Diceros bicornis minor: one gene and its partners. The protein of the gene in region 1 interacts with the protein of each later gene in a pairwise test. Links are inferred from orthologs where the notes say so. Each region holds a gene or a part of one and is shown in the gene's direction. Other genes may lie near its edges.

The links.
Region 2: the proteins of BCL2L13 (region 1) and TMEM86B interact in binary tests that used the Homo sapiens proteins (3 or more experiments, as listed by UniProt). The two-hybrid records come from large-scale screens. The link is inferred for Diceros bicornis minor from reciprocal best matches to the Homo sapiens genes BCL2L13 and TMEM86B.
Region 3: the proteins of BCL2L13 (region 1) and PLP1 interact in binary tests that used the Homo sapiens proteins (3 or more experiments, as listed by UniProt). The two-hybrid records come from large-scale screens. The link is inferred for Diceros bicornis minor from reciprocal best matches to the Homo sapiens genes BCL2L13 and PLP1.
Region 4: the proteins of BCL2L13 (region 1) and PLN interact in binary tests that used the Homo sapiens proteins (3 or more experiments, as listed by UniProt). The two-hybrid records come from large-scale screens. The link is inferred for Diceros bicornis minor from reciprocal best matches to the Homo sapiens genes BCL2L13 and PLN.

The regions. Positions count from the first base shown.
Region 1 is NC_080756.1:61,801,472-61,809,374, forward strand, and holds the start of BCL2L13 (bcl-2-like protein 13), read left to right. Parts: upstream 1-4,887; 5' UTR 4,888-4,956; intron 4,957-7,903. UniProt on the Homo sapiens protein: May promote the activation of caspase-3 and apoptosis.
Region 2 is NC_080773.1:33,243,251-33,250,722, reverse strand, and holds the start of TMEM86B (lysoplasmalogenase), read left to right. Parts: upstream 1-4,468; coding exon 4,469-4,828; intron 4,829-5,168; coding exon 5,169-5,225; intron 5,226-5,554; coding exon 5,555-5,789; intron 5,790-6,477; coding exon 6,478-6,860; 3' UTR 6,861-7,472. Other genes in the region: PPP6R1 (serine/threonine-protein phosphatase 6 regulatory subunit 1), read left to right, coding at 2,015-2,151, 2,238-2,418, 2,522-2,592, 2,724-2,805, 3,193-3,303, 3,381-3,452, 3,545-3,548. UniProt on the Homo sapiens protein: Catalyzes the hydrolysis of the vinyl ether bond of choline or ethanolamine lysoplasmalogens, forming fatty aldehyde and glycerophosphocholine or glycerophosphoethanolamine, respectively and is specific for the sn-2-deacylated (lyso) form of plasmalogen.
Region 3 is NC_080781.1:96,811,841-96,819,236, forward strand, and holds the start of PLP1 (myelin proteolipid protein), read left to right. Parts: upstream 1-4,386; 5' UTR 4,387-4,495; coding exon 4,496-4,499; intron 4,500-7,396.
Region 4 is NC_080762.1:17,735,241-17,742,910, reverse strand, and holds the start of PLN (cardiac phospholamban), read left to right. Parts: upstream 1-4,659; 5' UTR 4,660-4,720; intron 4,721-7,670. UniProt on the Homo sapiens protein: Reversibly inhibits the activity of ATP2A2/SERCA2 in cardiac sarcoplasmic reticulum by decreasing the apparent affinity of the ATPase for Ca(2+).

The DNA.
Region 1 (7,903 bases):
TAGAAGTATGGGTCAAAGGGTACACACATTTTTACTATTACCTTTTTATTTTGAAGAAATTTCAACTATAATAAGTTGTAAGAATAGTACAATGAACTCCCTTCACAATTGTTAACATTTAGCTATATTTGCTATATCTTTCCATATATATATTATTCATGACTATAAATAGTTCAGCATGTTTCATAACAAGAGTGTAGATGGATCAAATTCAGGAAATCTAACAAGTCCGTATTCAAATTTTGCCATATGTCCCACTATCCCTTGTAGCAATTTTTTTTTCTCATCTAGGATCCAGTCCAAGATCCTGTTGTATTATCATGTCTTTTTAGTCTCCTTTAATATGGAACGGTTCCTGAGACTTCGTCTTTCCTGATAGTTATGTTTTTGAAGAGTACCAGACATTTGAAGAGGCCAGTTGTAGAAAGTCTCTCCATTTGGTTTTGTTTGATAGTTTCCTCATAGTTAGACTCCGGTTATGCGTTATGGGAGGAGTGCTACATGAGTGACACTGTGTCCTCAGTGCCTCACATCAGAAAGCACATGTCACTTTGTTCTTTTCATGGGAACGGTGCCACATTTTTAGGGCTGCCAAATTGTTTTCCAGCTGTACTAGTGTATACTACTCTTTGTAGTGTACGACAGATTGGTACACATATTTGAGAAAACTGGTAACGTTGGATAAGGGAAGGATTCAGCCACAAGACAATAAAACTAATAGGACAAAGGACAACGAGGTTGACTTGAACTTGATCAGTATTCTAATCAACTGGGCTAAACCAGATGATAGGCTTGTTTCTCTCTTGTTTTTGCATTAGTAACTTCATTCTTCACCATCCCAGAAGACAGATTTCTAGGATTACGCCACCCTCTAGCATCCCTAGGTTAGGATACGGTGGTATTCACTTCTCTGGATTACAATCCCTCCTCCCATTTATTTTTACAATGTTCTGCAAATAACAGGAGTTGGGGAGTGGGACTGGTAATCCAATGCCCCATGTCCAATAGTTTATGAATTAATGTTTGGAATAGATGTAGTCCTGTCCAGATCAACGTGCTTTTGTTTTTTGGAAAGCAGTGTGCTGATCTTTATGATTTATTTATTATTATTTTGAGACATTAAAAAATTTAAAAAAGTACAAAGAATAATTCAAACATTCATGCACCATGTACCACTACCCATAAATCACAATTAACACTTGTCACATTTACCTTAAGACTTCATTTTTAAAATAAAAGAAATAGTGTTACAGATATAGTTCACATCCCCTTTTGTGCACCTCTCTCCTCCCCCGTGTTCATGCTCTTTACAACTAGTTTCTGCAGTATTTTGTTGATTCATCAGGGAACAGGCCAGGTCCTGTCTGATAGGAATGTGGTAAGCTTCACAGAGACAGTCTCTGGAGTGAAAAAGTTATTATAAGTACACGCAAACATTAACTAGTTGGTAGTTTTCCAAATCCAATTTCCTCCTATACTAGCTAGGTCTTGTGAAGAAGCTTTATTAAAACAGCTTTTCAGGGCCGGCCCCATGGCTTAGTGGTTAAGTGCGCACACTCTGCTAATGGCGGCCCGGGGTTCGGATCCCAGGCGCGCACCAACGCACCGCTTCTCCAGCCATGCTGAGGCCACGTCCCACATACAGCAACTAGAAGGATGTGCAACTATGACATACAACTATCTACTGGGGCTTTGGGGAAAAAAAAAAGGAGGAGGATTGGCAATAGATGTTAGCTCAGAGCCAGTCTTCCTCAGCAAAAAGAGGAGGATTAGCACGGATGTTAGCTCAGGGCTGATCTTCCTCACAAAAAAAAAGAAAAAAAAAAAAAAAACAGCTTTTCAGATAAACTCCAAAAATCCCACGCCTAGATAAGCCTATTTACTTATGGCTTCACCAAAATCACTGACCTAGATTCCTGCCAGGTTAGTCACAAAGAGATGGTCTGTATGCTCACTGTCTCACCTGCTCCAAAGCTGAGGCTTCAGTCTGCAGTTTAATTAGCCATTGAGTCAGCAGAATAGATAATCTAACTCTTGAGTTTTTTGCTGGGGGGTACACAAAAAGAGAGACTGGAGGTAAGTGTAAATAATCTGTCTTTGAATGTTGAGAATTTAATTTTAAAAAGAGAAAACATGGGCCGGCCCTGTGGCTTAGCGGTTAAGTGCGCGCCCTCTGATGCTGGCGGCCCGGGTTCAGATCCCGGGCGTGCACGGCTTCTCCGGCCATGCTGAGGCCGCGTCCCACATACAGCAACTAGAAGAATGTGCAGCTATGACATAAAACTATCTACTGGGGCTTTGGGGGGGAAAAATAAATAAATAAAATCTTTAAAAAAAAAGAAAAAACAAATGGTAACAGAAAGTAGTGAAACTCTAGTGCCTGCACTTTTTGCCCCTTTCCAACCCATCTTCCACACAGCAGCAAGAGTGATTTAAAGCCTTGATGGCATCTAGTCACTTCCCAATTTATAATCCTCTCGTGCCTTCTATCCCCTTCTGAACACCTTCCACCGGGTCTGAGCGCTGCTGGACGTGGCCCCTGCTTGTCTGACCCCATCACTCCTCTTCCCTTGGCTCCCCACCTCAAAGCTTTACTGGTATCTTTTCAGTTCCTGGAGAACACCAAGTTTTTTTGCCAGAGAAGTTCTTTTCCTCCACCTACCCTTTAGCTTGTTCTTCATTCTTTAGGTCTCAAGTTAAAATATCTCCTCCAAGAGAGCTCTTCATGAACACCCTTTTACCTTATTTTCTATTCCAGCCCCTGGTTTGTTTACTTCAGGACATACCACAATTTTAAATTTTTTTCTCTTTTCATTTCTAGGCTTTTGTCTGGCTTTCCAATGAAAATGTCAGCTTCACAACAGGGACGATGTCTGACCTACTCACCATTGTTTTTGCCAGCACCCAGCACACTGCATGGTAGATAGTAGGTGTTCAATAAATAATTGATGAATGAGAATGAATGAGTACAGTCTAGAGTTTAGATTTTATAACCACATCAAGCTGCAAGCTAAAACTCTGCATCACTCATAAGATCGGTCAAAAAAACCAAAAAACGCACAAACTGCTGTGATTAAAGTCAAGTAATTTCTGTAACAAGACTATAGCATTTTACACCACTTGACTATCCCTTTCCCCATTGAATAGCCTTGACACCTCTGTCGAAAATCAATTGACCATTCTGGACTTTCTATTCTGTTCCATTGACCTATATGCTATCCTTATGGCATACATTTGAAAAATAAAATAAAAAAGGGAAAAAAAGCAAACATTTATCAATGGTTCATTTTTGTTTTATTACTGAGTAATTTCCATTGTATGAATATACTTCAAAAAGTCAAGATTATTTTTATTTTTCCCCCAAAGCTCCAGTAGATAGTTGTATGTCATAGCTGCACATCCTTCTAGTTGCCGTATGTAGGATGCGGCCTCAGCATGGCTGGAGAAGCAGTGCGTGCGTTGGTGTGCGCCCGGGATCCAAACCCTGGCCGCCAGTAGCGGAGCGCGCACACTTAACCGCTAAGCCACGGGCCGGCCCAAAGGTTATTAAAAATAAGAGTAGGAGACTAATAAAAGAGGTAGCAACCGAATGTATTGCATGATCCTGATTTTTTAAAAAAACTATAAAAGCCATTACTTGGACAATTGGGGAAATTTAATTATGGACTGGTTATTAGGTACTATTAGGGAGTTTGTTAGCTCACTAAGCCTTTTCTTGGCAAATCTTTGTCCTATTTCTCTAATAATGGCAAGACCGTTTTCTCAGTCACTGAAGCTTAAAGCCTCTTATGACACCAGCTCCAATCTTCTTTTCCATTCCACCACCCAACCTTATATCAGGTTCATGTTTTTATCACTTCTTTTTTCAGTTTCATTGAGATATAACTTACATACCACACCATTCAACTATTTAAAGTGTACAATTAAATGGTTTCAAGTATATTAATAGAGTTGTGCTAACCGTCACCACAATCCATTTGAGAACGTTTTCATCACCCCCAAAAGAAACCCTGTACCCACCAGCAGTCACTCCTCATCAGGCTTTTATCACTTCTGACCTGGCTCCTTAGCAACAGCCTTCTAACTCCTCATCTTCAACGCTCTCCTTCTTCCAATTTATCTCATGTTGGAAGGGAGATTTGATCCTCCTAAAGCATGGTTTAGATACTGTACCCTCTGGACTAGGTACCTTCAGTGACTCCCCCGAAGAACGCTTGGGTTCACGTGAACAAACATCCACGGACACACATTCTCATCCAGGCACTGTGCTAAGTGCTGTGAACAAAACGCTACGACTGAAGAGCCCCTTTACCGCCATAGTGCAGGGCCCTCCACCAGGAAGGACCTCTCTAACCCCCCCCCCCCCGGAAATCCTTCCCAATTTCCAAGGACCATCTTCCCCACAAGTGGCTGCGAACTCGGCAGCTCTCGGGACTCCTGACACTTATCTAACCGCTTCCTTGCGCACACTTAAGCTCAATACTGGTCTACTCAATACAGCCACAGAACGTGTTCTGTGGATGTAACAGCGCTCCTTCCCGCGGGAACGGCCAGCCTCTCTCCCCGCACAACGACTCGCAGATCACCATCCCACCTCCCTTTCTCCAACCGCCAAAGGACTCCGCCACCGCAGGCACCACAGACTTGAGCGACTCCCGGGAAGAGCGGGCCAGGAGAGATCCGCTCTTCCGGGTCAAGTCTGCGCGAAGAGCCCTCCAGGCCTCTATGGCTCATGCTTCCGCTCGGGAGAACAGAGCCGCCCCCTTCCGGCGCTCCTCGGCGCCCCCGGACGCCGGCGGTGACGGAAGCACGCCGGGGGTGACCTCACCCTCCAACATGGCGGCGGCGGTAGATTAGGGCCGCGGGTCGGAGCAGCGACTGCCGCTGGGGGACCCTGTCGGAAACAACTGCCGCCGCCGCGTCTTTCATCTCTTCTGGGGCAGGGGCCAGGGCCAGGTGAGGGGAGCGGGGTTCCGGGCAGTAAGAGCTGGGTTCCTCACCCAGCTCCTCAGGCCATTTTCACTGGGTAGGACGGTGTCCAGAGTCTGTGCAGAACCACCAGCTCCCAGGGGGTTCCGACGACGCGTGAGTGAGTGTGTGACTGTGAGCGAGTGAGAGTGTATGTGTACCCGCGCTCCTCCGCCCGAGGGTTCTCGAAGCTTACGGGGTCCTTTCATCACCGGACCTGTCTCGGGTGGTCCCCTCGCGGGGGGTTGCTGAGCGGGCTTCCCGAGGGAGCTGCCAGAGGAGTAGCGGCTGGGCCCTTGCCCTGCACCCCTGTTCTTCCGCCCAGATACCTTCACGTGAACACCCCGTCCATTTTTAGGACAAGGTGGGGGAACGTGGACTTCTTTTTGATCGAGGAAAAGGTTTTCTTGTGATTCGTTTAGAGTGATTGTAGATGAGCTCTGCCAGTCCTAGTCGTTTCTTCTCACAGTGTTAGAAATTTTTTATTCTTTATTCACTGCTGTTCTGATACCCATTATTATTATTATTTTTTTCCCTGGAAAAACCTGCCTTCTTACCCTTGGAGGCACTACGGTTCACACTAAGTCGTTTCCTCTTTTGACTCTTATCCTCTTAGCATTCCAAGGAGGTGCCAAGTGTCTTTCCTTCATAACCGACTATGAAGGAAAACTCCCAGACTTTGTGAGTTAAGGCTTTAACCTAGGTTGAAAATCGGACAGATGTGGCCTGTTCACAGGCTCCTGACTGATAGCTTTGTTTAGTTCTTAACCACTCCCGGCGCTAGTGTTTGTTTATCCAGAATAGCCACCTGAGTCTCTTTTTAGGAGTTTTAAACTAAAGTCAGAGTGCCCCCCGCCCCTTTTCTTTATGATGTAAAGCAAAACAAACAAGTCTTTTTGCGAAATTGTCAGTAAGATTTCCCCTGGAGGTTTGGTGTGAACCAGAATTTTGATCTCTGCCCTGACTTGTTGTGTGACCTTGGATGAGTTGCCACACCCTTCTAGTACCTTCTTTTTTTTTATCTTCCAGAAAATCAAGCAAATGTTTGTGTAGGTAGTGAACTGTTTATACCTCATGTACACAGTTGGATAAATGTACACTGCACATTTGCACCTGGAAAATGAAAATATTTAAACCATTATGAAATATTCTTTATTTGATGATAGGCCACGAAGGATTTTGAAAATCCTTTTACTTTGGTCAAATGCTATTTTCGGTATTTTTTTCCAAATGATTCGTTTTTTTTTATGGAGGACTGTACCCCAATAGTTGAATTCAGTTGAAGGATATGTAAGGTTGAGTCCCACCAGTTTTGTAAAGAAAAGATGTGCTCACTAGCACAATAGTTAATCAGTATTTACTAAATATCTTATACCTAAGATATATACTCCTGTATATCTTATAAGCTTTTGGGACAAGTGATTTGCAACAATAATAATCATTGTTTTAAAAATATATTTCTGTTATGAAATATCTTAGACATACAGAAATTTTAAACAATCACTTGGTACTGTCATCCTGCTTTTTATTGTTTTTCAAACATGATTTTGATTCATGTCTTATTCCAAATAAATGGTCACCAGGAGTTCTTAACATATATTACAGAGTTGAAAGAAGGGGGCTGTTTTCAGAGTAGCTGATTTTTTAATAGCTTTATTGAGATATAATTAATACCATACAACTCACCAATTGCAAAATTCAGTGGTTTTTAGTGTATTCACAGAGTGTGCAACCATCATCACAACTTTTATCACCCCAAAAAGAAACCTGTACCCATTAGCAGTCATTCTTTATTCCCACTCTCCTCCATCTCTCCTACCTAGGCAACCACTGTTTCACTTTCTGTCTCTATAGAGTAGCCAATTCTGGACATTTCATATAAGTGGAATTATATAATATGTGGTTTTTTGTGACTGGCTTCTTTTACTTGGCATAATGTTTTCAGGGTTCATACATGTAGCATGTATCAGTATATCATTCCTTTTTATGGCCACATACTATTCCATTGTGGATATACTACATTTTCTGCATTAATTGATGGGCAGTTACTTCCACTATTTGGTTGTTATATATAATGCTTCTGTGACCATTCATGTGCCAGTTTTTGTGTAGATGTGTGCTTTCATTTCTCTCTGGCATATCTCTAGAAGTGGAACAGAGTAACTGCATTTTATATCTCCCTTTTACATGAGCTATCTACATGTTTATGGGAAGCCTAATTAACTTATTGTGAAAATCAGACTCTGTTTATGTGTTTGTGGGGAGAGAGTGAGAGGGAGGCATTCCTCTGTAAGTACATTATCTTTGAGTGCCACGTGCTGAGTGAAAACAGTTTTGGGCAGCTGTTAACACAAGATCAAACTAGAATGTTTCAGTTAGGTATGTTTCAGTTGGAAAGGGATAGTCTACACTAGAATACTTAGTGTCTGCTGAGTTTTAAAAATGACGCCTTGCTCAGTTGCATTTCTCAGCTGGATGGGGTGAATTTTTTCAATTTCACAATTTTTGTTAGGATTATTTAATTTTACTTCTTTCATTTTGGAGAAAGTCCTGGAATTCTATAGGAGCTAAGAAAGCATGGATTAAAAAATACAGTTATTGAGACTTCATGTTAATTTGTGGACCTTTAGAAAAATTACCTGCCCAAACCACCAGGGAGTCTTGAGACTAGAGATCTGGTAACCAAAAAACTTTGCTAATGTTTAAAATTCCAGAGTTTTGATTTGTGACTGAGTTATCTGTGGATTTTTATTTTTCTCTTTTAAACTAGGATTATAGATCTGTTCTACACCATATTACTGGAGTATTTAACAAATCTTACTACATTAGAATTTTATTTTAGTGGAAAGAAATGGTCTAAAAACAAAGAGCTTCCTGAAATAATTTAATTAAAACATGTTAAATTATGTTTCTGTTATGGTTCTATGGGGTTAAG
Region 2 (7,472 bases), on another chromosome or scaffold:
TGAAGAGACTTTCCTTTCTCCATTGTATGTTCTTAGCTCCTTTGTCGAAGATTAGCTGTCTTTAGATGTGTGGTTTTACTTCTGGGCTTCCAATTCTGTTCCGTTGATCTGTGTGTCTGTTTTTGTATCAGTACCATGCCGTTTTGATTACTACCACTTTGTGTATATTTTGAAGTCAGGAATTGTGATGCCTCCAGCTTTGTTCTTTTTTTTCAGGATTGCTTTAGCTATTTGGGGTCTTTTGTTGCCCCATATGAATTTTAGTATTCTTTGTTTTATTTCTGTGAAGAATGTCATTGGGATTCTGATTGGGATTGCATTGAGTCTGTAGATTGCTTTAGGTAGTATGGACGTTTTAACTATGTTTATTCTTCCAATCCATGTGCATGGGATATTTTTCCATTTCTTTATGTCATCATCGATTTCTTTCAGTAATGTCTTATAGTTTTCATTCTATAGATCTTTCACCTCCTTAGTTTAATTTATTCCTAGATATTTTATTCTTTTTGTTGCGATTGTAAATGGGATTATCTTTTTGAGTTCTCTTTTTGTTAATTTGTTAACAGCATACAGAAATGCAACTGATTTTTGTAAGTTGATTTTGTACCCTGCAACTTTGCTGTAGTTGTTGATTATTTCTAATAGTTTTCCAGTGGATTCTTTAGGGTTTTCTATATGTAAAATCATGTCATTTGCAAATAGTGAGAGTTTCACTTCTTCATTGCCTATTTGGATTCCTTTTATTCATTTTTGTTGTCTAATTGCTCTGGCCAAACCTCCAGTACTGTGTTGAATAAGAGTGGTGAGAGGGGGCACCCTTGTCTCTTTCTTGTTCTCAGAGGAATGGCTCTCAGTTTTTCCCCGTTGTATGAGTTTTCAGAGTATAAGTTTTATGCTTCTTTTGTTAAATTTATTCCGAAGTATTTTATTTTTTTTTGGTGTAATTGTAAATGGAATTGTTTTGTCAGAATCGTTTTGAGATTGTCACAGGTGTGTAGAAATATGGTAGATTTTTGTGCATTGATCTTGTGTCCTGCACCGTTGCAGAACTCACTAGTTCTAACCGTTTTAGTGGATTTCTTAGAATTTTCTAGAGACAAGATCATGCCATCTGCAATTAGAGAGAGTTTTGCTCCTTCCTTTCCACTTGACTTCACTTTCTGTTGCCTAAGTGTCCTCCAGCACGGTCTGGACCAGAGGCGGGGAGAACGGCCCTCTTGTCGTGTTCCTGATCTCAGGGGAGCGCTTGGTCCTCCCCGTCGAGTGTGGTGTAGTAGCGGGTGTGATGCCGGTTGCGGGTTTGGGAGGTGCCCTTTTCAGGTTTAGGAAGCTCCCTCCTCTTCCCCGTTTGCTGTTTGTCTCAGTTTATTTTTAACTCTGTGTAGGTATAGTCCTTTCTGGTTAGAGTAGTGGATGACTGTTGTGACAGCGGCATGCTCTCAGCGTTGTAGAAACCGTGTAGTTTGCTTAGCTGTTGGCCAGTGGGTGGACACAGGCCAGTCGGACTTTCTCCCCGCTCCCGAGTCGCCTCTCAGTCAGCATTCAGCCGGTGTCATTGGAGCCGCTGTGCATGTCGGACTTTGCTCTCAGCCGAGGATATGGTGGGGACACAAGTCCATCCGAGTTTGTAGTTAGAGGAAGAGTGTCAGGTCGGCCGTCCCCTGAGAGGCCAGACCAGGTGGTGGGCGGGTCCGTTCCGTGCGGACCCCGCTGTGGGGCTTTTCCTGCCCTTGGTGCTGGGGGTTGTGCTGCTCTCCACATGGGCACCCGTGGTTCCTGCCCGCCTTCCCGTGGTGGGACGCAGGGCTCTCTCTCCAGGCGTCTTCACACTCTGGGCTGGGGGGCCTCTGACGTGCCCTCCCGTGGCTTCCCTGCTGTCCCCTCCCCTCCATCCCTTTTGTCACCTCTGTTCATTCCCTCACAGATGTTTGCCTGTGTCAGTGCTGGGTGGTCGGAGGGTGGAGACGGGTGTCTCTGTTCTGCACCGCAGCTGACGGGTGGTTTCTGGGGGCAGGAGTGGAGGCAGCACAGACAGCGAGGAGGAGGAGGAGGAGGATGATGATGAGGAGGAGGAGGAGGACGGCGATGGCCGGGCAGCCAGCAGAGGGGCCGGGCCCCCTTCTTACCCCAGCCCCGGCCCTCAGCCTCCGGGTAGGTGAACGTGTGGAGTGGGGCGGGATGTGGGCACATGCAAGATGTCTGCCTGTGGTGCTCACCCTGCCCCCACCCCACCCCAGGCTCCAACTGGACAGCCAGCTTTAAGCCAGTGCCTACGGACGCCATGACCGGCCCCCAAGACTCCAGGGAGGAGGAGCCTCGCCCTGGGTCCCCAGTCCCACAGGGGCCCCTCGCCATGCCCTGGAACCTCCCAGCCCAGAGCCCAGCTGGCCCTGCAGCCCGTGATGCGCTGCAGCTCAGGTGAGGCAGGAGGCAGGGTGGGGAGGCACTGGCCTGGGTCCTGGTTCCCTTGGGCTCAAGTGCTGACCCCAGCACCCCTTGGGCTACTTCTCTCACCTCCCAGGTCTCAGGACCCCACACCCCCCTCAGCACCTCAGGAAGCCACAGATGGCAGCAAAGTAGCGGAGCCCTCGGGTGAGCCCCTGCCCTCCACACCCCGTCGCCCTTCCCCGCCGTCCCCGGGCCTTCTACATGCCCATCTGAGGAGCGAGGCAGCACAGAACCTGCTGAGTCTCCAGCCTCTGGGCCTCTCTTCCCCCGCACAGCCCCCTGCCAGGCCTTGGTCAGCGTCGGGGACCTCCAGGCCACCCACAGAGGGACGTGCTCCACCCCCAGCTCCTTGGACAGGTGACCAGCTGGGGCCAGCTGCTGGCCAAGGGGGAGGCGGGTGGAAGCTGACCCTGGGCTGTCCCTGCTGCGGAGCTGCTCTGAAGGGCCCTTGCCGGACACTCCAGGTCCGTGCCGCTGCCTTGGGCCTCGTGGCAGCTGCAGGTTGTGCCTATGGCCACACGTGGGCGCAAGAGAGGGATCCTGGAGCCCAGAGGCCCCCGGGAGCTCAACCTCAGGGGCCAGAAGGCTTCCAGAAGGGGACGGGAGTGTGCTGAGCCCGTGTGGAGCTCCCGTGGACGTGCAGGACTCCCCTGGCTGTGCGCTCCTTCACCGCTTACCCAATGGGCTGGGAGGTGAGAGCGTCCAGCAGGGCATCGGTACCGTAACCCCTCTGACCCTCTTCAGTGCAACCAGAGACCCTGCTACCTCTGTCCCAGCCCCTGGGGCCCACCAGCCCCCCCAGACCGCGGAGGGGGAGAAGAGCCCAGAGCCCTTGGGGCTCCCCCGAAGCCAGAGGTGAGCACGGGGTGGCCTCGTGGGCAGCAGGCATTATGTGGAGAGGTACTGACCTCTCCATGCCCTCTCCCCAACAGTGCCCAGGCCCTTGAGCCGCCTCCGATACCCAATGGCTCTGCCCCGGGAGGGCCGCTGTGCCCGGGCTCCCAGTGAGTGGCTGGGGCAGGTGGACTGGGGGCTGCGGGTAGGGCTTGGAGGGCGGTGGGTGGCTCCTCACACGGCTCTCTCTGTCGGTTCCCAGGTAACTGCCTGGTCCCAGCCGTGGCGGCCAAGTCCTCCGTACTCCATGTGGACCTGCCCGGGTGGGGGGCAGGGCGGGTCCCACGATGGCCCGGTTGCCCCATCACCCCACCCCCGCCCACGCTCTTTCTGGACTCCCAGGAGGCTGGTGCAGGGAGCTAGGCCCCCCACCCCCACCCGCATCTGCACTGAGAAAAGAAATTACGGAGTCTGTCTCCCAGAATAAAGATAAAGAGTCGAGTACAGAGAGAGGAGAGAGAGAGAGAGAGAGAGAGAGACCTATATTATATATTATATATATATATAAATATATATATGTGTTGAGGGGGAGAGAGTGGGCGGGAGGAGAGCCAGAAGGAAGCCAGGCCGAGGGGCGAGGGGGGACCTTCACCGTGTCCCAGCAGGGCCCCTGCACCCTCTCCCCTCCCGCCACGCCCCCGCCCTCCGGTGCAGACGGCCTCTCAGCTCAGGTCACCTCGGGGAGGGCCCGAGTGCGGGCTGTGCCTTTGCCCACCCCCGGCCCCGGACCCTGCACTTTCACCCGAGCTGGGAGCTAAAGGACCCTCTGCCTGGCCCAGCCAGCTCTGTGGGGGCTGGGGTCCCAGTCCCAGGGGGTCCGCCTTGGTGTCATTCCCACGGGGCCCTGATGCACTCACCGAGACCCCCGCACCTCCCGTAGACCCAGAGGCAGGGGTCCGGCTGGGGTCCCCCTCCCATGCCCAAGGGCCTGGGGTCCAGCCCAGCTGCCAAGTGACCTTGTCCCAGCTCCCTCTCCCCAAGCCGGCGTGAGTGTGCGTGTGTTCGTGCTGAGCTTCTATTTCATATTGCAAATATAAATAAATAAAGGAAGACAGTTGAAGACTCCTGCTGCTCAGACCTGGGGTTCTGGGCCCAGGGGTGGGAGAGCCTGAGCCGCTCCCGCACCATGCCACAGGACCCCGGCCCTCCCTCAGCCTTGGGGTGCGAGCCTCAAAGAGTGGAAGGAGGCTCCAAACCTCTGTCCTCTGCTGGGGATGGCGACACCTCTGTTCAGACCAGGAAGGAGTCTCCCAGGAGGAGGAGCCGGGAGTGGCCTGCCTTGTCTGGGACCTGGTCCTGGCAACCATTTCCGGGGACCCAGTGGGTCCATGCCTTCCACGCGGAAAGTTACGGCACAGACCAGGCACGCCTGCCCGACATGTACGTGACATCCAGAGCTGGGGGCCGGCACGGTGACGGTGACCTCGCACAACTCCTTGGTGTGCACTCGTCCAGCAAGCGTTTGTGGCGGAGGCCACCAAGGCCTGTCTGTGCTGCAGGGAAGGAGCTGGGGGAGCCCTGCTGAGGCCAGAGCCCAGACCGCAGGGGTATGGCGGGGAGGGGATGAGGCAGTTTCCGTCCTGCCCCAGCACCCCATCCCTTTGATTGGCTGGCACGGCCCCCCGGGGACGGGGGCCTGTGAGGAGAGTAGGGACCCCTGGGTCCTGAAGGGCACCTTATCAGTGGGTACCAGGCGGCTCCCTGGGCCCTGTTATCAGTCCCAGAGTCCACGGGACGCCCCTTGGGTTAACGTGTAACCACACGCCATCCCCTCCACCCCCAAAGCCACTGGTGCCCACATATGAGCCACTCTCGGGGGGTTATAGGCTGACATGGATGCCGGGAAAAAGGGGCTTCCCCAAGAGTCTCGCTTCTCAGCCCAAGTGAGGACCGTCCAGCGTAGGAGGGACTGGGCCTGGGTTTCTGGGAACCCAAGCAGCCTGGAGGTATTGGGGGGTCCTCCCTTCTGGGAGGCTGGGTCTGTGGGCCTGGATGTCCTGGTCCCTGAGCAGCTCCTCCAACCCTGCAGCGTGGCTGGGGTCCCCAGGTCAGGGTGGGGTGGAAGCCCCAAGACCTGAGTTCTGGTCTGGTGAGGCCTGACCACCAAGGGCTGGAGATTGGCTGAGGCCCCTGAGGCCAGGAGGGTTTTGGAGCCTTGTCTCAGGGGCTGGGGTAAGCCCCAGAGACTCAGCAGCCCCCTTGTCCCCCGAAGCCGCCGTACGTGGGCAGGTGGCTGAGCCTCTTCTTCCTCACCTGTGCTGTCTACCTCCTTCTGTGGACCCCCGAGGCCCCACCGTCCTGGGTCGGCGCCCTGGTCAAGTGCCTGCCTGTCCTCTGCCTGGTGGTGCTCCTGCGGGCCGTGCGCTCCAGTGCGCTCCTGCAGGGGGGCCTCCTGTGCTCGGCCGTGGGGGACGCCTTCCTCCTCTGGCCCGCGACCTTCCTCTACGGTGAGTGGGGCCGCACTGCCCCTGTCAGACCCCACACAGAGGGGTCTGGGGCGCAGGGGGCTGCTCCCCGATAGAGTGCCTGCCATGAGCGGGCAGCGTTGAAAGGCACAGGGGCCAGCAGTGACCGAGACACACGCAAACCCCTGTCCTCATGGAGCCCTTGTTCCACTGAGAGTCAGGCAGTGTCCCCTTAGGAGGCGTGAGTGGTGCGGAGGGGAAACAAAAGCAAGGGACTAGGGGTTGCTGTCGTGAGTAGACCAGTTGAGGACAGCCTTGCTGAGAATATAATGTCTTGAAGAGGGTGCGGGAGCCAGCTTGTGTCCATCCGGGGAAGGCTGGTCCAGGCAGAGGGTCCAGCCAGTGCAAAGGCCCTGGGGTGGGGGCACGCGGTGTGTCTTCCAAGTGGCCTGGTGAGTGGAGCTGAGCAGAATGGACAATCGGTGGGCAGCTGTGAGCAGAGTAAGGACAGAACGCAGCGTGCGTTTTAGAATCGCTCTCGGGCCAAGGGCGGGGAAAAGGGAGACAACCACGGAGGCCGGTGCAGTAATCCTGGAGGATGAGGGTGCTGGGGCCAGGAGAGGAGCTGGTGCTCCGGCACAGTCCTGTCCTTCAGGCTCTGGGCAGCGAGCTGAGTTGGGGAAGCAGGACTCGGCGGTTCACGGGGCGCCCCCACCCCTGTCTCCTCCAGGCGTGGCCGCCTTTGCTGTGGCCCACTTGCTCTACATCCGGGCCTTCGGCCTCACTCCCCTGCGGCCAGGCCTCCTGCTGCCCATCGTGCTGGCCTCGGTGCCGTACTGCGGCCTCCTGCTGCTGCACCTCTCACCCGGCATGGTGCCGCCCCTGACGGCCTACGCCCTGGCCCTGGCCACCATGCTGTGGCGTGGCCTGGCCAGAGGTGGGAGCGCCAGCTGGGGCGCCCTGCTCTTCACGCTCTCCGATGCTGTGCTGGCCTGGGACACATTCGTCCAGCCCCTGCCCCACGCCCGCATGGTGGTCATGGCCACCTACTACTCCGCCCAGGTCCTCATCGCCTTGTCGGCCTTCCAGAGCCCTGGGCTCCAGACCAACTGACCAGGGGCCGAGGCGGGCGGGTGTCTGCCCCTTCCCCTCCTGCAAGGACCTGGGCCTCCCAGACCTGCCCCCCTGGCCTGCCTGAGAAACATCCCCGGGGGCGGAAGCCAGGCTCCCCGGCCTCCTGTCTGCAGGCGCTGGTCCTCTGGAGATGTGTGGGAGCTGTTCGCACAACTCCGAATCCACCGCCAAGTTCCCGCCACCTCCCCGCCGTCCTGACTCCAGGCCCCCACCCAGACCCGCGCTGTGCCCTCCCGCCACCTGCCCTCTTCCCTCTGGCCCTAAGCTTTTTTGTTGCCTGAGTAAAGTGGACTTTGAAACTACGACATCTCCGTTATTTTGAGTGGGGTGTTGGGGGAGGGGTGATCACAATAATAACAACAAACAGTTCTTTTTTTTCTGCAACAAAATTTACCGTTGTAACCATTTTTAAGTACGATTCAGTGACGTTAAGGATATTGACAGTGTCGTGCACTGCATCTTTTTTTATTCTCGTGGTAAGAGCACTTACTGTGAGGTGTATCCTCGTAGCACATTTGTACGTGTCCAGTGCGGTATTGTTAGCTATGCACACAGCAGACTCCCCGTGAGCAGGCCTCGTGCCCGGGGCTG
Region 3 (7,396 bases), on another chromosome or scaffold:
ATCCCCACTGACTGATTTTGAATCCTACTGATCTACAAACTGCATGCAACTTGCCCTGCCTGGATTTCTAATGTGGGCTTCCTGTTTAGCCTGAGATGTTCAGAGGGTTGGAGACTCGGGCCACAGCAGCCTGAAGCCTGTCCATCCTCCCCTTGGTTGTTCTTGCTCAGGCCAGAGGCTCTCTGTTCAAACATTCTTTGGGAGCAGAACAATCTTCCAAGCAACTTCCAAGCAATGTGAGTCTGGAGAGAGGCGTTCTCTAGAGGTGGCTCTGTCCCTTGCCTGCTGGGTGGCATTGGGGAAGCTGCCTCTGTATCCCATCAGTGAAATGGAACACATGACATGGGTCCTCATGAGTTAGGTGGATATTTGACAACCAAGGAGAGTAGTATTATTTCTGCTGTGTTCAGATCATATCAAACATGCAGCCTCTCTGCAGGGACCACCATGCCAAAGCTGGCTGAATTTTCACATCGATGGTGGTGGATTATGTGGAAAACCGATTTCTCCACGTTGCTAGTAGCTATTTGGTGCTCCCCAGGCACTCCTTTCCTGAACTTATTCATCTGATTATTTTGGCTCCAGGCCATTATTCACTCTATCCACAAGCCATGGGCATCTCCCTTTCGCAAATACACATCCAACTCATCCTCTGCCCCCATCCATTGTTGCACTGCTCCTGAATCTTCAGGAGAGGAAGAAGAGCACCCTCCACTTACCCCACCCCATGCCAGCTCAAAGTATGTGACATCTCTGGCTCTCAGCCTTCAGTTCTCTTGGCCAGAAAGGCAAGGCCAAGCCAATTGGCATGAAGTTGGGTGTGGAAAGTTCTAGCCACAAGTACATAAGATGTAATATACTGCCTGCCAGCCAGCCAGCCTTCTGTGCCAGGGCTAGAAAAGCTGTAGGAAGCCACTTGCCTTCCTAAATTTTGTCTTGGAGGACATTATCTTGGGAAGAAGAAGCAAAGCCTCAGTTCCAGAAGCCACAATGCTAACAGGTGACCCCAGGCTTTCACTGGTATTGTGCCTTCTCTGTTCCCCTTTATGATCTTCTACATGGACACGGAGAAGTAGACCACCAGATTGGGCACTTGAGCCCTTATTTAGTTTCCTGGGAGAAATTCCTGAGTTTCAGAGTTCCTGAGTTTCAGAGTTCAGTCTATACAATGGAGCAAAAAGAACCCACTTGCCTAGTGGCCTTCAAGAATCTGGTACTATGGGATCACACAGCAGAGAGTGGAGGTCATATCCAAGTGTTTTGGAGTTATTTGCAAGAAAGCTGCACAACCAAAGCAACCTATGATCAAGGGGGTCCAGATCCTCTGAGGTACCATCAGAATTGCATGAAGCGGGGCTGGCCCCGTGGCTTAGCCATTAAGTGCGCGTGCTCCACTACCGGCGGCCCGGGTTTGGATCCCAGGCGCGTACCGACACACCACTTGTCTGGCCATGCTGAGGCCGCGTCCCACATACAGCAACGAGAAGGATGTGCAACTATGACATACAACTCTCTACTGGGGCTTTGGGGAGAAAAAGGGAAAAAAAGGAGGAGGATTGGCAATAGATGTTAGCTCAGGGCCAGTCTTTCTCAGCAAAAAGAGGAGGATTGGCATGGATGTTAGCTCAGGGCTGATCTTCATCACAAAAAAAAAAAAAAAACGAATTGCATGAAGCAAACTGTTTACTAGTTTCATACAATCCTGCATTGTTCCCACAGGCACCCAGTGCAGGCAGCAGGCTGCCACCAAGAAGGCTGGCGGTGCCCTCTTGAGGAATCCCTAGGCACTGCCAGGGATCCAGCTGGACTTGAACATTTTGCCAAGGGCACCCAGCAGAACCATTGGAAGCAGAATCACAGAAATAGGTGAAGGTGGATGGATAAAAAAGGCCCCTTGGGGACCTGGAAAGAGACCCTGTGAGGGCTGTGGGGAGGGCTCAAGAGAAGGGGGGTGAGTGGGTGCTGAGGCAGAGTGTCAGGGTGTCCAGAGTGACTACAATACACTAGATCCTGAGGAGCTGGGAACCTTAAGGCACTGGGGATAGTGAACAGGACACAGTCATCTGACCGAGGTGACTGTCCCTTTCCTGGGCATAAGAACAAGGTGGAGACAAGAAGACATGCTCCGTCAAGGAGTGTGGAGAGAGAAAAAGAAAGAAAGCGAGATGGGGATACAGAGCCACAGAGAGAAACAGACATAGAAACAGAGAGAGAGATTGAGACTTGGAGAGAAGACAAAATGAACAGTAAGGCAGTAGAGATGGAGGAAAGGAGAAGAGAAACGTGTGTTAGGGAAATGTGGTTGAAAAATTTGTATCTGTGAGTTTACGGGGAACACTTCTTTTCTTCCGAGTAGCCTGGCAGTCCCCAGAGCTACTGCTGAGAATCCAAGGGCAGATTTGTGAGAGGGTTCAGCCTGAGCGATTTCTCCTGCATGCAGAGCTGTGAAAAACCATCTCTCTCATCCCCTAAATCAGAACTCCCAAGGTTTGGACTCAGTTCCTTCTGCCATCTGAGGAACTGAGGGCACATATTTGGTGACTTCTTGCTTTTGGTCCTCCCTCTCCTGAGAGGGACAACCACCATCCAGAAGTTAATAGTTGGCACAATCCCACAACTCCACTTCCTCAGCAGGCAGAATCTATGGCTGGAGAGCAGTGCTGGCGAGGTAAGGAGTCCTGGGCCCCTCTACCATCAGTCATATGGCCTTAGTCTGGTCAGCGCTGGAAAGCTATATGGTTCTGCAAAAGGGGCAGCATTTACAGGGATCCTTTCTCTTTGGGGCTGGTGTAAAAGCAAAGGATCTAGAGTTCTAGGACTCTTGACAAACCTCAAATACTGCAGGACTCAGGACCCGAGTGGACCCACAGGGGCGTCTGCAGAGGACTCACGTATTTCCTAACAGCTAGAAATGTGTCCAAGGTCACAGCCCATAGAGAAAATTGCAAGATATAATCTTGCCTCTCTCCCCTCACAGGAAGATTCTAGGCTCTGCTCAGTACCTCCTTTCTCTCCTCTCTGATCTCAAGGCAAAGCCATAGGAAAAACTTTGGAGGGCCATACCTTCCTTCCCTGGAGTCTTCCAACAGGTACTCCTCCAGTTATATGCCAACCAGTTTCCTTACAGGCATCCATGAGAGGATGTGGGCCTCAAAGTCAAGAGAGTTGCATCTCTCTGAGGCTCCTAAAGGGATAGAGAACACTGACAAGGAGCCTAGATAGACACTGATTAAGATTCACCTCTTCTAGAAAACATTGCCAGGCTAATCCCACCTAGTACTGGGCACTCAAATACCTTTGCAGTCTTTAAAAATAACTATTATTGGTAAGGCAGTTTTCATACATTATGCCCCTGTTTTTGCTGCTTGGCCATTTTAGTCTTAGTGTTTTTGTCTCTGAGGCAAGGACTATATTTCCTTTTCCCTTCTCTCCACCCTCATTGGCACCTGCTGCTTCACCCCAACCCACTCCCTGCCTCTCACCAGCCTGTCCTCAGCTCTCTAATGACACTACATTCTCAGGATGGGATATTGACTACCTGATTCCCAGATCGTGTTCTTGACTTGTCTCAAAGTCAAGTACCCTCCTTGGAAATCCCCCACATCCCTAACTCTGACCTTTTCTTTAGGCTATTCTGTGAACCTGCACAGGTCTTGCCTCCTTTCTGGGTCTCTGTTATCCTATCTATAAAATTATTACAATTGTAGCCTCTCCCAGCTTGGTCACAATCTGTTCGTGGAATCAACAGCTTGCGTTTTGTCCTCATTCGGTGGAAACCAAGATGGATTTGGAGGAAATTATTTTAAAAAACAATTTTTTCTTCTCTAGTGTGTTTCTAGAGCTGGGGCGGGGGAGGGGTGCTTATTTGCCAAGGGATGGGGGGAGGGGAAACGTGGACAAGGCCAAGGGCAGCTAGGAGTGAGGGGTGGGATTGGGGCAGAGTTGGAAGGACTCTGGGAGATAGCAGCAAGGTTTTTGACCTGGACCCTCTCGCCAGGGCTACCACTTCCATGGCTTCTGACACTTGTGCTGCCACATCCCACACCAAATAGACCCAAGGATCAGTTGGAGGCTTCCAGGACCTCTTTTTATTTCCATCCCCAAACCACATTTCCAGATGTCTCTGCAGCAAAGTGAAACTCCATACAGGCAAGCCTTAGGGAAAAAAAAAAAGAAAAAAGAAAATGAAACAATTGGCAGTGAAAGAAAGAGAAGATAGAGTCCTTAGAGAAGGGAGTATCCCTGAGGAGGTGGAGACAAGGGGAGGAGAAGGGGAGGAGGAGAGGAGGAGGAAAGCGGGCCTGTCCCTTTAAGGGGGTTGGCTGTCAATCAGAAAGCCCTTTTCATTGCAGGAGAAGAGGACAAAGATACTCAGAGAGAAAAAGTAAAGGACAGAAGAAGGAGACTGGAGAGACCAGGATCCTTCCAGCTGAACCAAGTCAGCCGCAAAGCAGACTAGCCAGCCGGCTACAATTGGAGTCCGAGTCCCAAAGACATGGGTGAGTTGCAAAAACTTTAGCATGGAAGATTCAAGCAGGCACAAGAATTTGCAAGAGGATTTCCAACTTTGGGGTTCGGAGTTTCCAATGGTTTAAATGAGTTGTGTTTTGGCACTTTTTTTTTTTTAATTCCTTAGCACCCAATTAGATTAACTCCTTCTCTGCTGTACTGAGAATGATGCTTTATTGCCAAAGAACTCCAACAGCACGTGGGGAGTCCCACAGATCCTTGGAGAGAGTGCCCCGTGGGCTGCATGCGGTCATGTGTCCTCCTACCCCCTCACTTCCCTCTACCTTCTCTTTTCCCCTGGTTCCCAGGCCCTGGTAATGGCCAGGTCAGCTGATGTCCCTGGTTCTGCTGGAGGCAACTGAGTGTTTGCTAGCCTTCAGATGTACAAAATAACTGCTTGCTTAATACAAAATTTGGACCCTGTTTGGCATCAGAAGGAAATTGGGGAATTGGGCTAGATGGACTCAGGCTTGGCCATGGCTGAGGAGGCCAATCTCAGGTTCAAGAAATGAAAATAAAGTCCTCAATGGCTTTACCATGGGAAACGGATATGGGTAGGGGGGTGCGTGTGTGTATGTGTATGTGCACGTGTATAAGTGATCATTTCTTGCAAATATCAGACTTAGCTTTCCCGAGGACATGGCTCAGACTCTAAATCCCTGCTATGACAGGAGGCTGCTGGAATCTTAGGGCTCTTGCTGACTCAGTTGAGTATTGAGGGCTTCTCCAGGTTTCATGAACAGAGAGAAGCTATGAGGTCTGGTCTCTAGTAGTGTCTACTCAGAGCAAGGTGTGCAGAGCACGAGGGTCTTTGTCCACACAGGATGCCACAGAGTTGTGTAGACATTGCTCACATTTGGCAAAACAAGGGTAACAGTTTGAACGCATCCTAAATGAAGTGAGAATCAATTGCCCCGTGTATTCACCACCAAATGTAGCACCTAGAAAATTCCAACAACATCCACAGAAATAGGCTCTCAGTTATAATAAGCTGGTGTCAGCCTTTAAGTTGTTTCATTCTGAAACACATACATGTTCTTTGAAGCATGTATTCAGGTAGAATAATTAAGAGGGCAGAGCATGGACTAGAAATCAACACAACTAGGTTCGAATCCCAGATCTGCCAAGGTCATGAACTTCCTGACCTTGGGTTGGTCACTGTGAATTATCACTTCATCGTCGGGAAAATGGGGATAACCATAACTGCTTCGTCTACTTTCAGGGTTGTGAAAATCAAGTAATAATGATGTGGAAGTCGTTTGAAAATGGACGAGCTCTATAACAATTGTAAATCATGATAATACTGATTATTCAACAATAATGCGTGTACAGGCTGGATCTTACACTTTCCAAAGTGGTTGGGCTTTCTTTGTGTGCACTTTGTGCACTTGGCTAAGAATCATTTGAGCAATTGAGTGTGGTCAGGTGAGAGGTGAATGTTGGAGGAACTCAATTCCTGCTTTAGGTAATATCAGGAACCTTTCCTAATGTCAGGGCAGCTGATTAAGTAGGTTGTGAATTGAAAACGGAGAGGGAGTAAAGAAAGATGTTGAATATTACTTTCTCAGGGGATGAAAGCCCTGAGGAAAAGGCAGGAACAAATAAGGTGACCACAGGGAAGTCCCCTGGGGGTGGGTGATACTTGGGTCGAGTGCACATGATGGAGTAGCCACTGAGTTTTCAGTTATTTGATAACTATCTCAAATGCTTTGTAAATAATAGGCCATTTCTAACAAGATACTGACCTGTTAATCCTTCTGATGTGGAGTGTGCTGCTGTTGAACAATTGTAGTAGACAAATTAGATCACGGAATCTGGGATTGGAAGGAACTTTAGAAGCTGTCTGAGCCAACTCTCAATGCAGGAATCCCTTCTGCAACAGCCAATTAAACATTCCTACAGTCTCTGCTTGATCACCTCCAGGAATAGGGAGCTCACTACCTCAACCATGTAGAATCTCATAGGTTTGGAAGTGAAGAGGAACCCTGAATTCAGTAGTGTCTATGCAAAAGGTTTATGAGGGAAATGATAGTTCATTAAACCGTGTGCTGACTTGGGAGAGGGATGTTTCAAATGAGTCTTTGGGATAACAATGGAACCGGAAAAGAGCCAAAGAGCAGTAGCTGATTATTCTCTGCTCAGTAACACAATGCCATTACTGAACAACAAAACATTGGCTCCCTCAAGCCTGTTGTCTGAGAACACTGGCTGTTACCCTGGTAACCAGACTATGATGCTTCCCTCCAAACGTGGCTGTTTGCCGAGCAGTGTAGTTTTGGCTGGCTCAGAGTAAGTGGGGGTAGCCCAGGCCAAAAGTGTGGAGGCAGAGCAGGGGTCCAGTTTTACAAAATGCCTGAAAACTAACTGAATCCCACCATGATGACAAGAATCCTGCAAGAATGCCAGGAGCTAAAAAGAAACCAGATCCAAACCAGCATATTCACTTACTCTCTGCCTAGAGACGCTGACTGAAATGATCATGGACAGCATCCCCCTACTCCCCACCTTGGCACTGCAGAGCCAGAGGTGCTCTTGGAGACCCAGGCAGATTGGAAGGTCTGCTCTGCTTCGGGGGGCTTTTGCCCTGGCTCTGTGCTAGGAAACCCAGAAGTTTACTCAACAGCCTGTCAATTAGAACTATTCTCTCAAAGCTATCTGAGTAGTAACAAGGCCCCCAAAATGCCTGGGAGATGGGTGGGAGGGGAAATATAGTATCCAAACCCATCAAGGCAGAACCCCAGCCAGTGGTATCTTTTTCTTTGTTGATTTTTTGTGTATTATCTTGAAGCCCTGAAAATCATCCCCAGGGTATAGTTCTTGGTCTTGAAAGAAAGCAAAAGTAGAAATGCCCTCCTTGCCCACAGAACCTCAGGTCCAGAGAAGATCA
Region 4 (7,670 bases), on another chromosome or scaffold:
CATAAAGCACCATGGATTATTATGACTCCAGTGAGGAAAGAAAACAAGATTTAAAAAAAAATTTTTTAAAGGTTCAATTTAGGAAGCACGGGCTTATACTATGACCTTCCTTGGCTCTTATTCTCCAAATATATTTATGACATTTTTAAAAGACAAGAAAGAAAATTATTTTCTCAGTTATTCTACTCTTATCCCAAATCTCCCAATCAGTCACATCCTTTTTCTCCTCCTCCACAATGAGCTTTAAAATTGAGAAGGATTTTTTAATTGTCCCTAAGACTTACTTCTGCAAGATAGTCATTCAGTACAACCTTGCCATCTTCCCCAGTTCCCCCTTTATTCACTCATCTAATCATTCATTCAATCAGTAGTTAAGAATTACTAAAAGCCAGGTTCTCTACTAGGTAAGAGTACTATAAAGAATAAACAGTGGTATGAATATGAGTTAAAGGCCCAGCTCTCAAGAAGCTGCAGTCTAGTCTAGGCAGGTACACTAAGGAACACAACACAAAGAGACAGATAACAATAGAGGCGCATGCAGAATTGTTTGGCATAAAGCAGGGAGGGCTGCACAGAAGAAAGAGTACTTTGCTGGGAATAAAGGCTGGTAAGGAGGACATTCCTACAAAAAGTAGCGGGCTTAAAATAGAACAATAGCCTGTTCACAGGACCACTGCAGCTGAACAGGCCAGAGCACAGGATACAAAGGAATGTGATAAGAGGTGAAGCTAGAAAGACAGGACCTAAAAAAGCAAACTAAGAGGTCTGGATTTTAGAGACTTCAGTTGGAGAACTCAGTCCTCCTCTTTCAAAAAAGAGCTGCCTCATACCACTACAGAAACATCTGCTAAACATCCACAGGAATTCTCAACTTTTTTTGTGCCGTGGACTTTTTTGGCAGACTGCCAAAGCCTGATGCTCTGTTCTCAGAATGTTTTTATATACATAAAATACACAGAATTCCAAATAATTTTTGTAGACACTCCACTCCTAAGGTAGTGAAGTGTAACCGTGGGCTGTGCATAGTGACTTTCTTCTGGAGAGGAAAGTAAGGAAGGGGGAAAAAAGAGTAACTCACAGTGGAGAAACCAGATGAACACCACTTCAGCCAGGTGATCAAGGTTACCAACGACAGTGATAAGTCATGTTGATACTATGTCCCCTTGATATGTGATGAAAAAGGCACTTTACCTCTCTGGTCTTCCTCTCAAAAACACATTAACCAGTTTAACCATGAGAAAAACATCAGACAAATCCCAAGTGGGGAACATTCTACAAAATATGTGACCAGTACTCTTCAAAATGGTCAGGGTAATCAAAAAAGGAAAGTCTGAGAAACTGTCACAACCAAGGGGACCAAAGGAGACATGACTACTAAATATAATCTGGAATCCTGGATGGGATCCTGGAACAGAAAAAGGACACTAGGGAAAACTGGGGAAATCTGAATAAAGTATGGGCTTTAGCTAAAAAATGTACCAATAGTGGTGCAACTGTTGTGACAAATGGGTATATCACACTAATGTAGGATGTTAACAACAGGGGAGACCAGGTGTAGAGTATACAGGAACTCTCTGTACTATATTTGCAATAATTCTGTAAATTTAGAACTGTTCTAAAATAAAACTTTTTAAAAAAATAAATAAGATGCATAGAATTAGAAAGGAAATGAATTCTACTGAAATAATTATTTTTAAAAAACAAATTTGTGATGTAATATTTGCGCTTCTTTATTAACGCATTAAATAACAATATTTACAGGCAGGTCTAATGATGGTAATTTCAAAGTAGTGATGAATGTAAACAGTATTTCAAGCTATGTGCAACAACGATAATATATGAAATGATCTGACATTGCTCTGGTGACAGTTAAACGCACCGCTGACACTTGCGCAGTTTGTGGTCTAAGGTCAAAACTGAAAAAATGCTAAATCTCATTTAGAGCCTAATGAAAATAAAGATGTAACTTTTTTCCTACCCAAGTTATCACTGAACTCTACCCATATGCTGCAAGTTAAGAATCATCATCTAACAGAAAAGAAAAAATAAATACTAACATTAAATGGACACTGTGTTGCAGGATCTCTAATAGTCACTGCACATCCTTCATCTCATTAAACCTTCAAAACAAACCCATTCCACAAAGAAGGCAGCTTCGGGAAGCTGTCTGTATAAGGTCATGTGACCAAAAATGGATTCAAACTATAGTCTGACTTCAAATGAAGATTCTGACAAAGCACCTCTAAAACATTTTCCAGACCCCAGCTGTGGAATTGTGAGGAACGTTCTACTGATTATACTGTAGTTCACCTGATGCTCCTATTCAACAACTTTCAGTTTGGACAATCAGGCTAAAACTAAAACCTAACACTTCCTACAGCTCCATTGGGACTACTAATAATAAAAAGCAGCAGCAGCAGCTAACCAAAAGGAACAATGTGAACAAAGAAGCTCCCCACTCTCCTATGCAGCTGAAAAGTCTAAATTTTGTGTCCATTTTCCAACTCTGACACACGGTTACTATCCTTCTAAGGGTGTGCACGTATGTGTGTGTGGCGCCTATGTATGCTTTTTCAGCAAATCTGCCAACATGTGAGATATCCAGGGCATATTTTACTCAGTCTAGGGCAGTTTCTTAGTTTATCCAACTAAGACTAATTCTATTTTCTTAGAACTAGAGGTGCTCACACTACAATGATCTAATCCCTAAACTTCATTTTCGAATCAATGTGTAACTGGCAGACAAACTTAAAAGCAAACTCTCTAAAAATAGTAAGTTTTCGATAATTAATCTATCTCCATCTTAAAATTTCTTAGTTGATGTATGCTACCCTATGAAATCTATATCCAAATTATTATTGTTTTTTTCTCCCACAACTTGCCAACTTATCTGGAAATTATAACTGAACAGATCCGGATTTGACTCCTCAGTCTGACCCTTAGCAGCTCTGTCATCTTTGACAAATTCCTATAAACCACTTTAGGCCTGTATTTCAAGCCTAGGTTTTGTATTGCAGTCATCATTGGCAACTGATGATAATAACAGATCCTTATTATATAAGGATTGGAAGAAAAAATGCTTGTAGAGTACTGAGCAAAATGTCAAACGTTATTCATGCAATTTCTTTAATTTGGGGTTTTACTTTTAAGTTGTAAATTTTCCCTTAGCAATGTTCACAGAAGGTCTTTGCTGAAATATTATTTTTCTGTTAGTTTTAGCTGATTCATTAAATAACGAGAGATTTTCTCTAGAGAAGGATTTTATCTTTCTTTGGAAGAAGCCAAAATCATCTCCATGTAAGGACACATGAGCAGCTGCTGCAGCGCATTTCAGTCACCCACAGGAAAGTGAAGCAGGCTGAGTTCACGTTGCAATAAGTATAAAAAAATTAAAAACTAACGAATAGCTACTCCAGATTTACAAAAGAGATTTAAGAATCAGAATTTGCAGGTGTGATGATTTAAGTAAATCTAATATACTAACAAAAAATTAGAAGAAACAGGAAAATGATGCATGGGTTTTCAAAAAAATTCTTTTCCCAGTTCTACTATAAGATAAACTGTTCTAGGAAGTTCAAAAATTTCATTCCATTTACTAAAATTTCATTTATATAATAATTTTCAGGAAAACAGCTACTGCATTAAGGCACATCCTTTTAGAAATACTATACAACTTAAATTTCCAACACATGCACACCTACTGTCAATAAAGTATCATTAACTAGGATGCCACTGATTAGGAATCTGATTATTTCTTTGTTGCTAGAAAGTCACTCTTCATACTGCTTCAGCTTATAAAAGTTTTATAAGACTTGATGGTAATTTAATGCAGCTGTTAAAAAAACCCTACATACTTAAATTTGTAAATTTTTAAAATTTTTTATTTTAATTCTGTAAACTTTTCTTAGCATGATATATATCAGTTTAAATAGGAGAATTACTATTCATAAATATATTGTTAAAGCCCTAATTAAAGAAAGCACAGGTGAATTAAATACATTTACTAGTTCTTCCTTTATAAGATAAAGCTAATTTTTTAAAATGAAAATCAGTTATTAGCCTGGTTTTCTCACACACTCTCCCTCCCCCATACACACGCAGGTATGAGGAGAGAAAACAAATAAGACAGAAAAGGTATAAAATTTGATTCTGTGAAAATGTTTAATTCTTGTCTTGCCAGAAGCTAACATTACGAAGCTGCAGTATTAAAGAAACAGTAGCAATAACAACTCAATGAAAGTTGCTTGGCTTAAGCCACTATTATTATCCTCACTCTATTAAAATTACCATTACTATAACTATTTTAGTTCTTCAGCATTATCACCACCAGTATACAAGTATTTCTAAACCTGAAGATGCATGAATCTTTCAAAACAGCTTTCTATCCCCCCAATTTACTCAAATTTTTTTCATTTATCTTCCATATACTTTTAAAAATTAAAAACAAAAAAACGAAGCACAAAGTGTTAATGACCTTTCCATACTTAAATTAAGATAAATGACGTTCAAAAAGTTTGGTTGTGATAAGACGATAGCTAACCAATCACTACTTCAGAATTCCTGTGTGACATCATAAGACCTCCCTAGAACACTTTTTCTCCTCCACCTACTTCAATTGTTCCCACAGATCTGGTAACAGAGTCAGAAAACCTTCCAGCTAAACGCAGATAACACTTCACACAACTCCGTACTCTAAATTGTGATCATCACAACGGCCAAGGTAAGAAACAGATGTCACTGATTTTGGTAATTCTTACTTTCTATAATTCAAACTTACTGTACTTTTTAAAAAGAGTTAATCATATTTTGTAAATTTCAGTTTAAAGTTAGACAATACAATAAAGTGTCTGATATGACAAAAAGCTTAATTTGTAAATAAATGCTAATTTTTTAATTTCTAAATAAAATTCAGTGGCAGTAAGAATAAGACAACTTTAAAATAAGGGTCGCATTCATTTTTGGTCCTGGTTATTGGTTTGTCATTTTCATTTAACTTTCACTTTTATTTTGCTTTTCAAAAGTGAATTTCTGCCAATTGAAATATCTTTCAATTATTTTACATATTTGGTGGTAGTGGTGATTTGATTTCTCCATGCAAAAACAATAGCTTCACTTTGTTATTTTTACTCTGCTGAGAAATGAGGATTGCGCTATTTATATCTAAAATACTATGAACAGTCGTGTGATTGTACAACATGCACATTATTGGCATGACTATTCTGATACTATCATCATGACTCTTTACAGTGAATATTAATAGAGTTTAAGAATATATAATACAAACTACTTTTAAAATGCTTTTGAAGACTTTTTTCTTATCTATAAAATCCAGTCAACTTTCACCAAACACTTGTAAAAAAAAAAATCCAAGCTTTTAATAAATTGAGTTACTTATATTAAATTCAACAGTATATCATAAATAACAAGTTCAGAAATTTTAAAATACTTGTCAAAAACACATGTAAAGTTCTAAAGTTACAAAATAGTATTTCAGAACTTTAAAAATAGACGTTACTTTGGCAGCATAAACATTCCTAAATATCTGATTTGAGTGAATCTGATAAAATGAATGTTTATTCTGCCTATTAATGAATATACTTTTATCAAGTTACTAATGAATATACTTTTATCAAGTTACTATCTTCCAGTGTTCCTCAGTTTCCTCTTCTGCATTTAAAAGGTGAGGGGGAGGAAAAAAGAAAAAAAAATGCCCAGGAATGGAGACACCACAATAAATTTTATAACTTCTGTTTGAATTCTGCTCTACTCTTGATGTTACTACAATCCTCAATTTAATATATGAAGTGTATCTTTATTCTTAAATCTCAGTCAGGGCATAAAGAACATCACATCGATTTTGTTTGACTATTTTTATTTTCCTAGCTATATGTCAAAATAAAATTTACCTCTAGAATTCTAAGTCCTTAGGACAAATGTTTACTGCTTTTTATGGATAAGAACTTTGTAACTATATAAGCAGCTTTCCTTATGGGATGCCAAAACATTTCTAATTTTTGTCTACCACTGAGGCACCCTAACTGCCTCTCAATATCTTTATATTCATAAAATGTTCTTCCTCTGCTATTACACAAAAGTCACTCAGTGTGGCTGTTTTATATGCATATTTATGCATTTTTACTAAAATACCTATCAAATTACGTTCTCACACTTCAAAAGGGATGCTCATGAGTTCTTTTATAGTATCAGAACTTCACCACATCACAAATTGCTCCAAAAAGTTGATAATTTCTAGAAAGAGCAGAAATTCTGCTATTAAAGTTATCCTTAGATAAACAATGTGTCTAGATTAATAGAAATTACATAGTTATAGTGACCGTTGTTCGAATTTCAAACATAATGCCCTAGTGTCGGACGTTATGTCCCAACTAGTTCATCTCTATCATAAGGTGAAATTTAAGTATTGTCTTTGTTTATAAAGACATGTGGTTTAAAACTAAGTGCTAAAAAAAGTGTCAGATGAAATAAAATGGAAGAAATGTGAAAGATGTTTTAATTATGAAAATTCATTATGTTTTAAACACACGAAAGAGCTAGAGTACTCTGCTTTACTAAGAAGAGTCACGTGACAATCATTTCCTAAAACTCAAGCATCAACATCATTTTAAAAGTATTTTAGTGGACATAAAGGAAAATAATATTCCAGAAAAAAATTACATTTGGCTACATATTTATACATATTGTTTCTTAATATCACTAAATTGGAGATAAGAGAATATCTGTATGAACAAAATAGTTAAAAAAAATTTTTAATGTATTAAAGTATTACATAATATATTAATTATGTAATGTACCAAATTATGTAATATATTAAAATTTTAAGTAAAAATTAAATGTACAGATTAGATTACCTCTCTAAATTAGCTAATATTTATTACCAATCCTAAAAACAAATTCCTTCCTTATTCTTGAACAATTTTCTAAATGCATTGGTGTATACAAATATTTCATTTGATGCTCTTAACTCCCTCTATGTTTGACACTATACCTCTATTTTACAATTTAGGAAACAGATGGGCAAAGGTGAATTGCCCAAGGTCACAGAGCTAGGAAATGGTGGAGGCTTGGCAGGAGCTGAGGTTTTATAACTCTTCATTTGCACATCCCATCCACTGATCAACACGGCTTAAAAATAAATCATGACATTGGCAAAGCAAAATAAATTGCAAGACCTCAAATACTGTTAAAATGGTATGTTAAAAGGCAAAGTTGGAGGATACGAACTTTAAAACCACTCCATTTCATTTAAAGTTACTTTACACACGAGGCATTACGTCCTTAGTAACCTACATAATATCCTCCTGATCATTTCAAAGCCAGGGATATAAGAAAGTTATAGATGACCACAGTTACTAAGCAATACACCCTGCAAGGCAAAACTCAAAATAACTGCACAGACTTTAAAACAATAACATGCCACAATCAATCAAGTTAATGTTTCCTTTTATTTGTTGCTTTGCTAAAATATTCATGCCTTTTATCTATTTAGCCTTGATATCTAAAATCTAGGTTAATTTCTCCTCAAAACTTTTCACAAAAACCACACTTTCATGTTTTATTCCAGTTCCATATTAAATCCTTAGCTTTCCTCAATTTCATTTCTGACGTCCTCATATTCTACCATTTAAAATATTTAACCCCATTTGTTGCGA